Linked DNA regions of Mus musculus. The protein of the gene in region 2 purifies or fractionates together with the protein of the main gene of each other region. This does not show direct contact. Links are inferred from orthologs where the notes say so. Each region holds a gene or a part of one and is shown on either strand. Other genes may lie near its edges.

Evidence for each region.
Region 1: the proteins of Fbxw11 (region 2) and Ogt purify together in Homo sapiens (affinity purification with mass spectrometry; 3 studies listed by BioGRID and IntAct, with this or other methods). This does not show direct contact. The link is inferred for Mus musculus from reciprocal best matches to the Homo sapiens genes FBXW11 and OGT.

The regions. Positions count from the first base shown.
Region 1 is NC_000086.7:101,663,671-101,668,547, forward strand, and holds part of Ogt (UDP-N-acetylglucosamine--peptide N-acetylglucosaminyltransferase 110 kDa subunit), read left to right. Parts: intron 1-172; coding exon 173-313; intron 314-973; coding exon 974-1,074; intron 1,075-3,607; coding exon 3,608-3,761; intron 3,762-3,845; coding exon 3,846-3,947; intron 3,948-4,309; coding exon 4,310-4,489; intron 4,490-4,877. UniProt on the Homo sapiens protein: Catalyzes the transfer of a single N-acetylglucosamine from UDP-GlcNAc to a serine or threonine residue in cytoplasmic and nuclear proteins resulting in their modification with a beta-linked N-acetylglucosamine (O-GlcNAc).
Region 2 is NC_000077.6:32,739,454-32,744,330, forward strand, and holds part of Fbxw11 (F-box/WD repeat-containing protein 11), read left to right. Parts: intron 1-733; coding exon 734-812; intron 813-3,005; coding exon 3,006-3,167; 3' UTR 3,168-3,191; intron 3,192-4,877.

The sequences.
Region 1 (4,877 bases), on a different chromosome or scaffold from region 2:
ATTGATTTCCTTTGGAGTGTTGTTTGCTGGGCAGGAGGATACTGGAAAGTGTCTGTTTTCTGGTGTGTTCCCAACCATTAGACTCAATGATGCACCTACTTGAATTACTAGAATAACAGTGGTCTCTTTGATTCTTCTGTGTAGTTTCTGAATGGTTTGTTTCATTTTCCAGGTTGCTGAAGCAGAAGATTGTTATAACACAGCTCTTCGTCTGTGTCCTACTCATGCAGACTCTTTGAATAACCTTGCCAACATCAAACGGGAACAGGGCAACATTGAAGAGGCAGTTCGCCTGTATCGCAAAGCATTAGAAGTATGTTCAGTGCCGTGGCTGGAGGGTTTAGCCTAGCCTGTGTGACAATAGAGGGAAAGCAGTTGTTTGCCTGCCATTCACCTCTGGGTTGATTTTTATTTTATTTTTACTTTTGGTTTTAGTTTTGGATTTTGAGGCAGGGGTTTTCTGTGTAGCCCTGGCTGTCCTCGAACTCAACTGTGTAGGTCAGGCTGGCCTCAAACCCAGAGAGTCCTAAGTGTTGGGGTTAATAAAGGTGTGCCCAACCACTGCTCAGCTGCCATTCACCTCTTTAAGAGGATCATTCATTATTGATGTAAGGTCCTGTGGACATGTAAGACACCCCTATATTGAGCTCATTATGCATAGGTGAGATCTGCACAAAGATTGACCAGTAAGCTAAGTAAAGCTAGTGCAGTGAAGAACTCAGGCCTGTGTCTAGTGGTTAGTAGGTGTGGAGGTTGATAAAAGTGGCATTACTCAGCATGAGTAACAGGAAGAGAGGCATACCTCTCGTTTGAAATGAAGATTGGTATAAAATGGAGAAGCTGTAGAATTTGAGCTACTAGACTTAGAAAAGGCGGAGAGAAGTTGGGATACATGGGGACGTACTCAGGGCTGTGGGAGGTAAAGGAAGATTCTTTCTGCTATTTAATGTCCGCTGTGATCGGAACTCTGTAGGTCTTCCCAGAGTTTGCTGCTGCACATTCCAATTTAGCAAGTGTACTGCAACAGCAGGGCAAGCTGCAGGAAGCACTGATGCACTATAAAGAAGCCATACGGTAAGAAACTCAGAGCTGCTTTCTTTCTATTTTCATTTTTGAGATTATAATTATATCATTTTCTCTTTCCTGCCTCTCCAAAACCCTCCCATAAACCATACCTCCTTGCTCTCAAATCCATGGCCACCTTTTTCATGAATTGTTGTAACGCACATATATGTATATGTATTTATATGCATATATATTTCTAAATATAACTTGTACAACCTGCATAATGTTACTTGTGTGTATGTTTTTAGGGTTGACCATTTGGTGTCGGATAACCAATTGGTGTGCTCTTCCCTACAGAAGACTCTCACAGACTCTCTACAGAAGACTCTCTCAATCTCTTAGTATCACTTAGATTGCCTGTATATCTTTGCATAGGATTGACGCCTATCCCCCCACCCACCCAAATCCAGTTCAGCATCTTTTTGTTCTTTCTCTTTTTGACAAGATTTCTCTAAGTAGCCCTGACTGTCCTGGAACTTACTCTGTAAGACCAGGTTGACCTGGAACTCAGATCCACCTGCCTCTGCCTCCTCTGCCTCCTCTGCCTCTCAAAATTCAGGGATTAAAGTTGTGTGCCACCACTACCTGGCATCTATTTTTGTTAAGGCTTGGCATAGTGCTATATACTTTAATCCCAGCACTCAGGAGCTTATGTAGTTCGATCTCTGTGAATTTAAGGCCAGCCTAATCTACGTAGCAAGAGCTAGGCCAGCCAGGGCTACATGGTAAGACACCGTGTAAAACAAAAATTTGGGCCTGGAGAGATGACTCAGGGATTAAGAATACTGTCTGCTCTTTGAGAGTATCTAGGTTCAATTCCTGGTACCCATGTGGTAGCTCACAACCATCTATAAATCTAACCTAGGAAATCCTGCCTTTCAAGGGCACCAGGCATATCATGTTACACAGCCATACATGTGGGCAAAACATCCACACACATAAAATAATAAAAATAATTTAAAAAAATTAACTATTTTAAACTTTCTTTTTTTTGGTTTTTCGAGACAGGGTTTCTCTATATAGCTCTGGCTGTCCTGGAACTCACTTTGTAGACCAGGCTGGCTTCGAACTCAGAAATCCGCCTGCCTCTGCCTCCCGAGTGCTGGGAATAAAGGTGTGCGCCACCACGCCGGGCTATTTTAAACTTTTTAAGAGCCAGGGTTTCATTATGTAGCCCTGGCTGTTCTGGAACTTACTATGTAGATCAGGCTGGCCTTTAAACTTACTGAAATTTACCTACCTCTGCCCCCCATGTCCTGGGTTTAAAGGCCTGTACTGCCATACTCGGCTTCCTTATTTTAAACCTAAAAATCATTAAAAATTATTCATCTGTATATGGGTATATGTTGTGCATGTAGGTCCCTACTGAGGCCAGAAGAGGGAGGGAAGGTGTTAGACCTCCTGGGGTTGGAGTAAGGCAGTTGTGAGCTGCCCCATGTGGATGCTGGGAACCAAACCCAGGTCCTCTGGAAGAGCAGCCAGTGCTCCTAGCTGCTGAGCCACTCTCTCAGCCCCTTGTTTTTTGTTTATTCACTTAGTTTTCTTTTTTTTTTCCCCTGAGACAGGACTTTTCCCCAACTGTCCTGGATCTCCATGTGGATCAGGCTAGCCTAGAAGTCATGTACTGGGGTTAAAGGGATGTTCTGTTTTAATTTTTTTTCCAGACAGGGTTTCTCTGTATAGCCCTGGCGGTCCTGGAACTCACTCTGTAGACCAGGCTGGCCTCGAACTCAGAAATCCGCCTGCCTCTGCCTCCTGAGTGCTGGGAATAAAGGTGTGCGCCACCACACCTGGCCTGTTTTAATTTTTTAATAATTCTATTTCATTTATTTTGTGGGTGTGAGGAAATGTGGGCTTATACTGTAGTGCCCATGTGGAGGTCAGAGGACAACTTATTGGAGTTGTTTCAGCTTTTCATAGTTTCTGTGGTTGAACTCAGTTATCAAGCTTGATTGTAGCTTCCTTTACCTGCTGAGCCATCTCACTAACCTTTTCAAATTACTCCTTTTTTTTCTTTTTAAAGACAGGGTTCCTGTCTGTATCCCTGGTTTTCCTGAACTTGCACTGTAGAACAGGCTGGCCTCGAACTCAAAGAGATCTGCCTGCCTCTGCTTTCCAAGTACAGGGAACACACCCAGCTTATTATTGTCATATTTTAAAAGATTAATTTACTTTTAATTATGTGTGTATTATATGTGTATAAAATGTGCATAAATTCCCTAAGTGGGTGCTTTATGCCCCTAGAGCTGGACGTTGATGTTGGGAACAGAATTCAGGCTCTGGAAGAGCAATGAGAGTTCCTAATTGCTGAGCCCCAGTTATCATCATTTATTGTTACTATTTAATAATTTATTACCTAATTAAAGGTTTGACATTTGGCAGGTGTTAAAATGATTCTCCTTCCCTCTTTGGTGCTGGGGTTTCAAACTAGGCCTCACGCTTGGTAGGCGAGTATTGTAGCACTAAACCATGTGCCAAAGCCCCCAAGTGCTTTACAACAAGATTTTGCATGAGGTAATCAAACCTTTGTCTTCTCCTTCAGAATTAGTCCTACATTTGCTGATGCTTATTCCAATATGGGAAACACTCTAAAGGAGATGCAGGATGTGCAGGGCGCTTTGCAGTGTTATACTCGTGCCATCCAGATTAATCCTGCCTTTGCTGATGCACACAGCAATCTGGCCTCCATTCACAAGGTACTGTTGTTTATTCAAATATGGGGTACCTTAGCACTGACCTATCATTGTAAGAAACTCCTTACAAGTTCGTTTTCTTTCCAGGATTCAGGGAATATCCCAGAAGCAATAGCTTCTTACCGCACAGCTCTGAAACTTAAGCCTGACTTTCCTGATGCTTATTGTAACTTGGCTCATTGCCTACAGGTAAAGAATAAATGGTCCATTATTTTTCTTTCTGCAACGTCACCATTTTTTAATTGTGTGTCATAATAATCTAGGCCTGTTTAGAGACAAGACAGTGTTTTCATTTTTATTTTTTATTTTATTTTTATTTTTTTGGGGCAACTGGCAGTCATAGGGCAGCTTTTAGGAGTCATTTCTTTTAGCACCTGGGTCCTAGGCATTGGACTCGTTGTCAGGTACGCAAGGTACGCCTTTTCTCAGCGAGCCAGCCGCAAGACCATGCTTGTAGGAGATTGCCTAATACTACTCTAGGAGCTCAAATACTTGTAAAATAAATCTTTGGGTAGGTTTTTTGGGTGATAATTTCTTTTTGCTTCCTCTAGATTGTCTGTGATTGGACAGACTATGATGAGCGGATGAAGAAATTGGTTAGTATTGTAGCTGAGCAGCTAGAGAAGAATAGACTGCCTTCTGTCCATCCTCACCATAGCATGCTGTACCCTCTTTCCCATGGCTTCAGGAAGGCTATTGCAGAGAGGCATGGGAATCTCTGCTTGGATAAGGTGACTCCTGTTTTAATCTTTTTGTTATAAACTAAAATGCAGATAGAGAAAAACATTGTATAAATTAAATGTATGGCTTTACCAGCTAGAAATGAAACTGTCTTAGCTGCCCTTGAAGCTACTCTTCACTGTGGCTTCACTGTGGCCTGACTGCAGCGCAGTTCTTCGTTTCTAATGGTAGTGTTTTCCTTTAAGGTGGAAATTTAGGCTAGGCATAGTGGCACAAACCTATCCCAGTACTTCTGTAATCTCAAAACTTAGAGGCAGAGGATGGTGAATTGAGGCCAGCCTAGGCTACATAGCATACATAGCTCCTGCCTCCAAACCACAACCAAGCAGAAACTTCCCATCTAAAAAGCAAGCTAAGAAGCCAGGTGTGGTGGCGCAC
Region 2 (4,877 bases):
GCTTGTGTTGTAACCATTAACAGAAATACAAAAATTAGGGAAGGTGCTTGCTGCACAAGCCTGGCAACCTGAGTTCAATCCACGTGAAGGAGAGAGAACTCACTCCAGAAGAGTTGTTCTCAGACATGTGTGTGTGCGGCACACACACACACACACACACACACACACACACCCCAACCAAACAAATGCATACAAATACGCACATATACAGATTAAACTATAGGGAATTCCATTCTTTTATAAATAAACCAGGAAACACTCCCTTCCCCCATGAACTCAGTAATAAAATTCCTCTTTTCTCCTTTTGTTCTCAATGACTAATGGAAGCTGTAAGTCCCAGTCTGCCTTATATATGTTTGGTCAGTGGGGCATTAGTGTGCTAGCCATTTCTTCATTTGGAGAAAGGCATCTTAGCCATCTCATTAGTCCCCCAAATATTGAATTTTGTAACATAGGTATTAAGTTAGGAAGTGAATTAAGTACTCCTGAGTCTTCTGCCTGTCCACCTCCTTAGCAGTAATATCCCTTTAAGGGTTCAGAGATTCTGAGAGGGGTTAGGTTCTTTTTCTAAAATCAAACACTCAAAGTCTAAGTTCAAAAACTTAGAAACACCAGCCTGTCGCCTGTTGGGTTTGGTTGTAGACCTTTCAAGTGAACTGTTTTGTCATGGGTATGTTCACAGTGTAGAAAATGTTAACTCTTTTATTAATTCCAGTCTCATTTTTCCTTGTAGGAAGATTAAAGTCTGGGACTTGCAGGCTGCTCTTGACCCTCGGGCCCCAGCAAGCACATTGTGTCTGCGCACCTTGGTGGTATGTGATTTGTTGGGGTGGGGAAAGCGTGTGTCTTGTACCACACTTTGAGAGACGTATAGGTATTTTTGGCCAGCCAGAACATAGTTCATTTACACTGCTGCAGGGTCCTGTGTAGGTGAGCAGGCACCCTCATGATTGTGCTCATTTCTCCTGGAGCCTTAGGGGTTCTGTAGTGTGCAGTTGTGTTATATCTTATAACTGCACAGTAGTAAATTGTTAAGGTCTAATTCCCCTCCTCCCCCAGTCTCTATTATATGGGCTCCTTTGGCACATAGAAACACTTTAATTTTTAAAATTTATTTTAAATTAGTAACTATATTATCAAAGAGAATAGTGTGATACTTTGGTCTATAATATACATTATAGAAAAATTGTCAACAAATTAATGAATATATCAGTTTTCATTTCTTTGATAGAAATATTAAAAATCCGTTTTTTTAAAAACCAAGTATGGTATGGTAGTTTAGACTTTTAATCTCAATTCTTGGGACAGAGGCAGGAGGATTAGGAGTCTAAGGTCATCCTTGGCTACATCGTGAATTTGAGGCCATAAGACCTTGGCTACATATACTTTTAACAAATTTTGAAGTACCCAACACTATGCATTTTCCTGGTCACTCTATAGTGGGGTGGATGATTGGCAGGGAGTCCTGCAGTCTGGGTGAGTGAGACTTTGGGCCTTCTGAGGAGCATTGGATTCAGTCCACCTGTCCACCCTTCTCTCATCTAGCCTTCCCCATCTCTCACTTTTGAACCCTTCTTTCTGCTTCGTTTCTGTGAGGTGCCAGTCTGTGGGGTCAGTGTCTGCCCGTGTCTGCTTTATTATCCACTGACTCTGATAGACCTCCAGGTGGTTGATTTTCCATGTCAGTGGCATGGCAGAATGTCTTGCTTGCTTTAAGACCAAGTAAATACTTTATTTGGATATGTGGATCTTTTTTAACATTACTAAAGCTATTGATTTCTAATATTGAGGCTGCTTCTGTTGGAATTTTTGTTTTCCTTTGAGAGACATCTGAAAATAGTGATAGGCTTTTCTTGAAATTTTTCAGCAATTTTGTTTCTTTTTAGAAAATTATCTTTAGGGCCATGCTGGTGACACACACCTCTAATCTTCACAGATAAATCCTCTCTCAAATAAATAAATTTGTATGAACAATTTGCCTACGTAGGTATGTGTTCACCTTGTGTGAATCTGTTGGATCCACTGGAACTAAGATGGTTGTGAGCCGCCAAGTGGGTGCTGGGAATTGAGCCTGGGTCCTTCTGTAAGACCGACAAGTACTGTTAACTACTGAGCATGCTCTCTAGGCCCAGGAGTTGTATCTGCATTGACTACAGCAGGCAGCACTGTAAGAGCCACTCTTACTTTCACCATGAATTTTGATGACTGCTATGACTTAATACAGATGTTCTTGGTCATCTTTTTAAAGAATTTTATAGGGAGCTGGAGAGATGGCTCAGCAGTTTGGAGCATCAGCTGCTCTTCCAGAGGTCCTGAGTTCAATTCCCAGCAACCACATGGTGGCTCTCAACCATCTGTAATGGGATCTGATGCCCTCTTCTGGTGTGTCTGAAGACAGCTACAGTGTGTTCATATACATAAAATAAATAAATCTTAAAAAAAAAGTTTATAGCAACTTTGCCCTTCTGAGTCTAGTTTTACAGTATATCCTGAATGGGTATTACTCTGACAGCCTCTGTTTTTCTTCACATTACTAGGCTATAATGTAGGACATAATGTTTAATTTAAAAAAGAAAAACCTAGGGGCTGGAGAGATGGCTCAACAGTTAAAAGCACTGACTGCTCTTCCAGAGGTCCTGAGTTCAATTCCCAGCACCCACATGGTGGCTCACAACCATCTGTAATGGGATCTGTTGCCCTCTTCTGGTGTGTCTGCAGATAGCTACAGTGTATTCATATACATAAAATAAATAAATAAATCTTTTTTTTTTTTAAAGGAAAAAGAAAAAGAAAAACCTAGAGGCGTATATTCTAGAAAGCAGAACATTTGTTCTCAGGGAAAGGATGCGGCTCAGTGTGTGTGTGTGGGTGGGGGAGGGGGGAGGGGGGACCACGCAGGAGGCATTGAAAAGTGCTGACTTTCCCGCCTGAGCTAAATCCCAGCTCTGGTGATAGGGGCTGTAAAGCCATCCTTCCTACATGTTAACCAAGCCGCTTTTCCATAGGAACACTCTGGACGTGTGTTTCGGCTGCAGTTTGATGAGTTTCAGATCATCAGCAGCTCCCATGATGACACTATTTTGATTTGGGATTTCTTAAATGTGCCTCCCAGTGCCCAGAATGAGACCCGCTCTCCCTCCAGAACCTACACCTATATCTCCAGATAGCAGCCTGCACTTTGGCCCAATCTGGTGAGTGTGCTCAAACTCCAGCCCTGCCTGGGCTCTTCAAGACCTCGCTCACTTCTGGACTTTGCCTTCCCTCTGGGAATTAGGAAACTGAGGTTCCTTAGTGATGTGAATGAAAGCATCTACCAGACTAGCAGGTAAGGTCTCAATAGGCTCCCAACAGAGCCCTGCACATCGTGGGCTCTCTCGTCGTCATTGACAGGTAGTGATGTCTGTGGTTGCTGTTTTTAAAAAACTGGTTACCTAAATGAGTTCCTTCATGATCATAGCCATTTAACACCAGGATAGTTTTTCAGGTTTGATTTTTGGATTGCAGAAATCAACCTTTTTACCTGGTCTTTCAGTTCTGTGGCTGACAGACAGACAGGCAGATGGGTGTAGTCATGCCCATGCATGCGCGCACACAGGACCATCCAAAATTCCTCTTCCCATCACCAAGTCCACTCTGCTTTACCATCTCCACAAGGAGCTATCACTTAATTATGCTGTGCATTCTTCATGGTGAGGCGTGACAGGTGCTTCAGAATGCAAATCCTCCGCTCTAGTTACAGAGCCGCTGTCATACTGTTGGTGACAGATTGTTTTGCTCACCAAGATGCTGTTTTAGATAGAAAGAGAGAAGCCCGATTTGCCCAATCCCAGATATCCATGACTACTGGGAACAATATTCCTACCTGGAAGATTTGCCGGGATCCATTAGATTCTGCGCACATCCCGCTTTGTCCACTTCATAAATACCCTTACTTCTGTGACTGTTTAAAGATTTGTGATTAAATTCTCTTAGTTAAAAAGCATTGCTTAGCCGGGTGTGGTGCGCATGCCTTTAATCCCAGCACTCAGGAGGCAGAGGCAGGTGGATTTCTGAGTTCGAGGCCAGCCTAGTCTACAAGGAGAGTTCCAGGACAGCCAGGGCTACACAGAGAAACCCTGTCTCAAAAAAAAAAAGCATTGCTTAATTCTTTATAGCTTTTTATTATGTACTTTCTAGCTTACTAAAGAGTAAGCTAGGTGGTGCTGGCACACCCCTTTAATCTGTTTCAGATATTTTTTAGTCTAGATTCTGAGTCCCATAAATGACTCTCAAGAAGTTTACCTTGCTCGGGCTTAACACACTGTAGCCAAGCATTGAATTTGACCCACTGTATGCTTTGTTTTTCTGCCAGTGCAGGCCAAAAGTAGATCTTACACTTTAAACACTTGAAAAATATTTTAAAAATTCATGCCATATAAAAACTCTGTGATATTAAAATTCCAACCTCCATAAAATCCGTGTGATTGGAGCTTACCTTGCTCATTTGTCACATGTCACTGTGGCATAGTTGAGGAGCTGGGACTCACACATGTCAGCCACTTCCTGTGCAGTGCTTTAAGGGTCTGGTGCGCATCAGGAACGGTCGCTCTGTGCTGCTGCGAACATCTGGGTTTCATTAGTAGTGACAGGTGAGGGCTCCCTTTAGAGTGGCTGTGGACCCCAAAGGACTGCAGGGCAGGGTGGGCTGGTGACATCTGCTGTGGGGGGTTAGAGGGGGAGGCCATCAGAAGGTTTACTGCTCCTGGCCTTCCATTGTCCACACCATCTCTGCCTACACAGTCATCTCCCCACTACTTTCTCTTGGAAGAACTTTTGTAAGTCCATTGACAAACCCACCTGGTAGTAGTCATTGAGTGATGTCTTCAGAGCACATGACT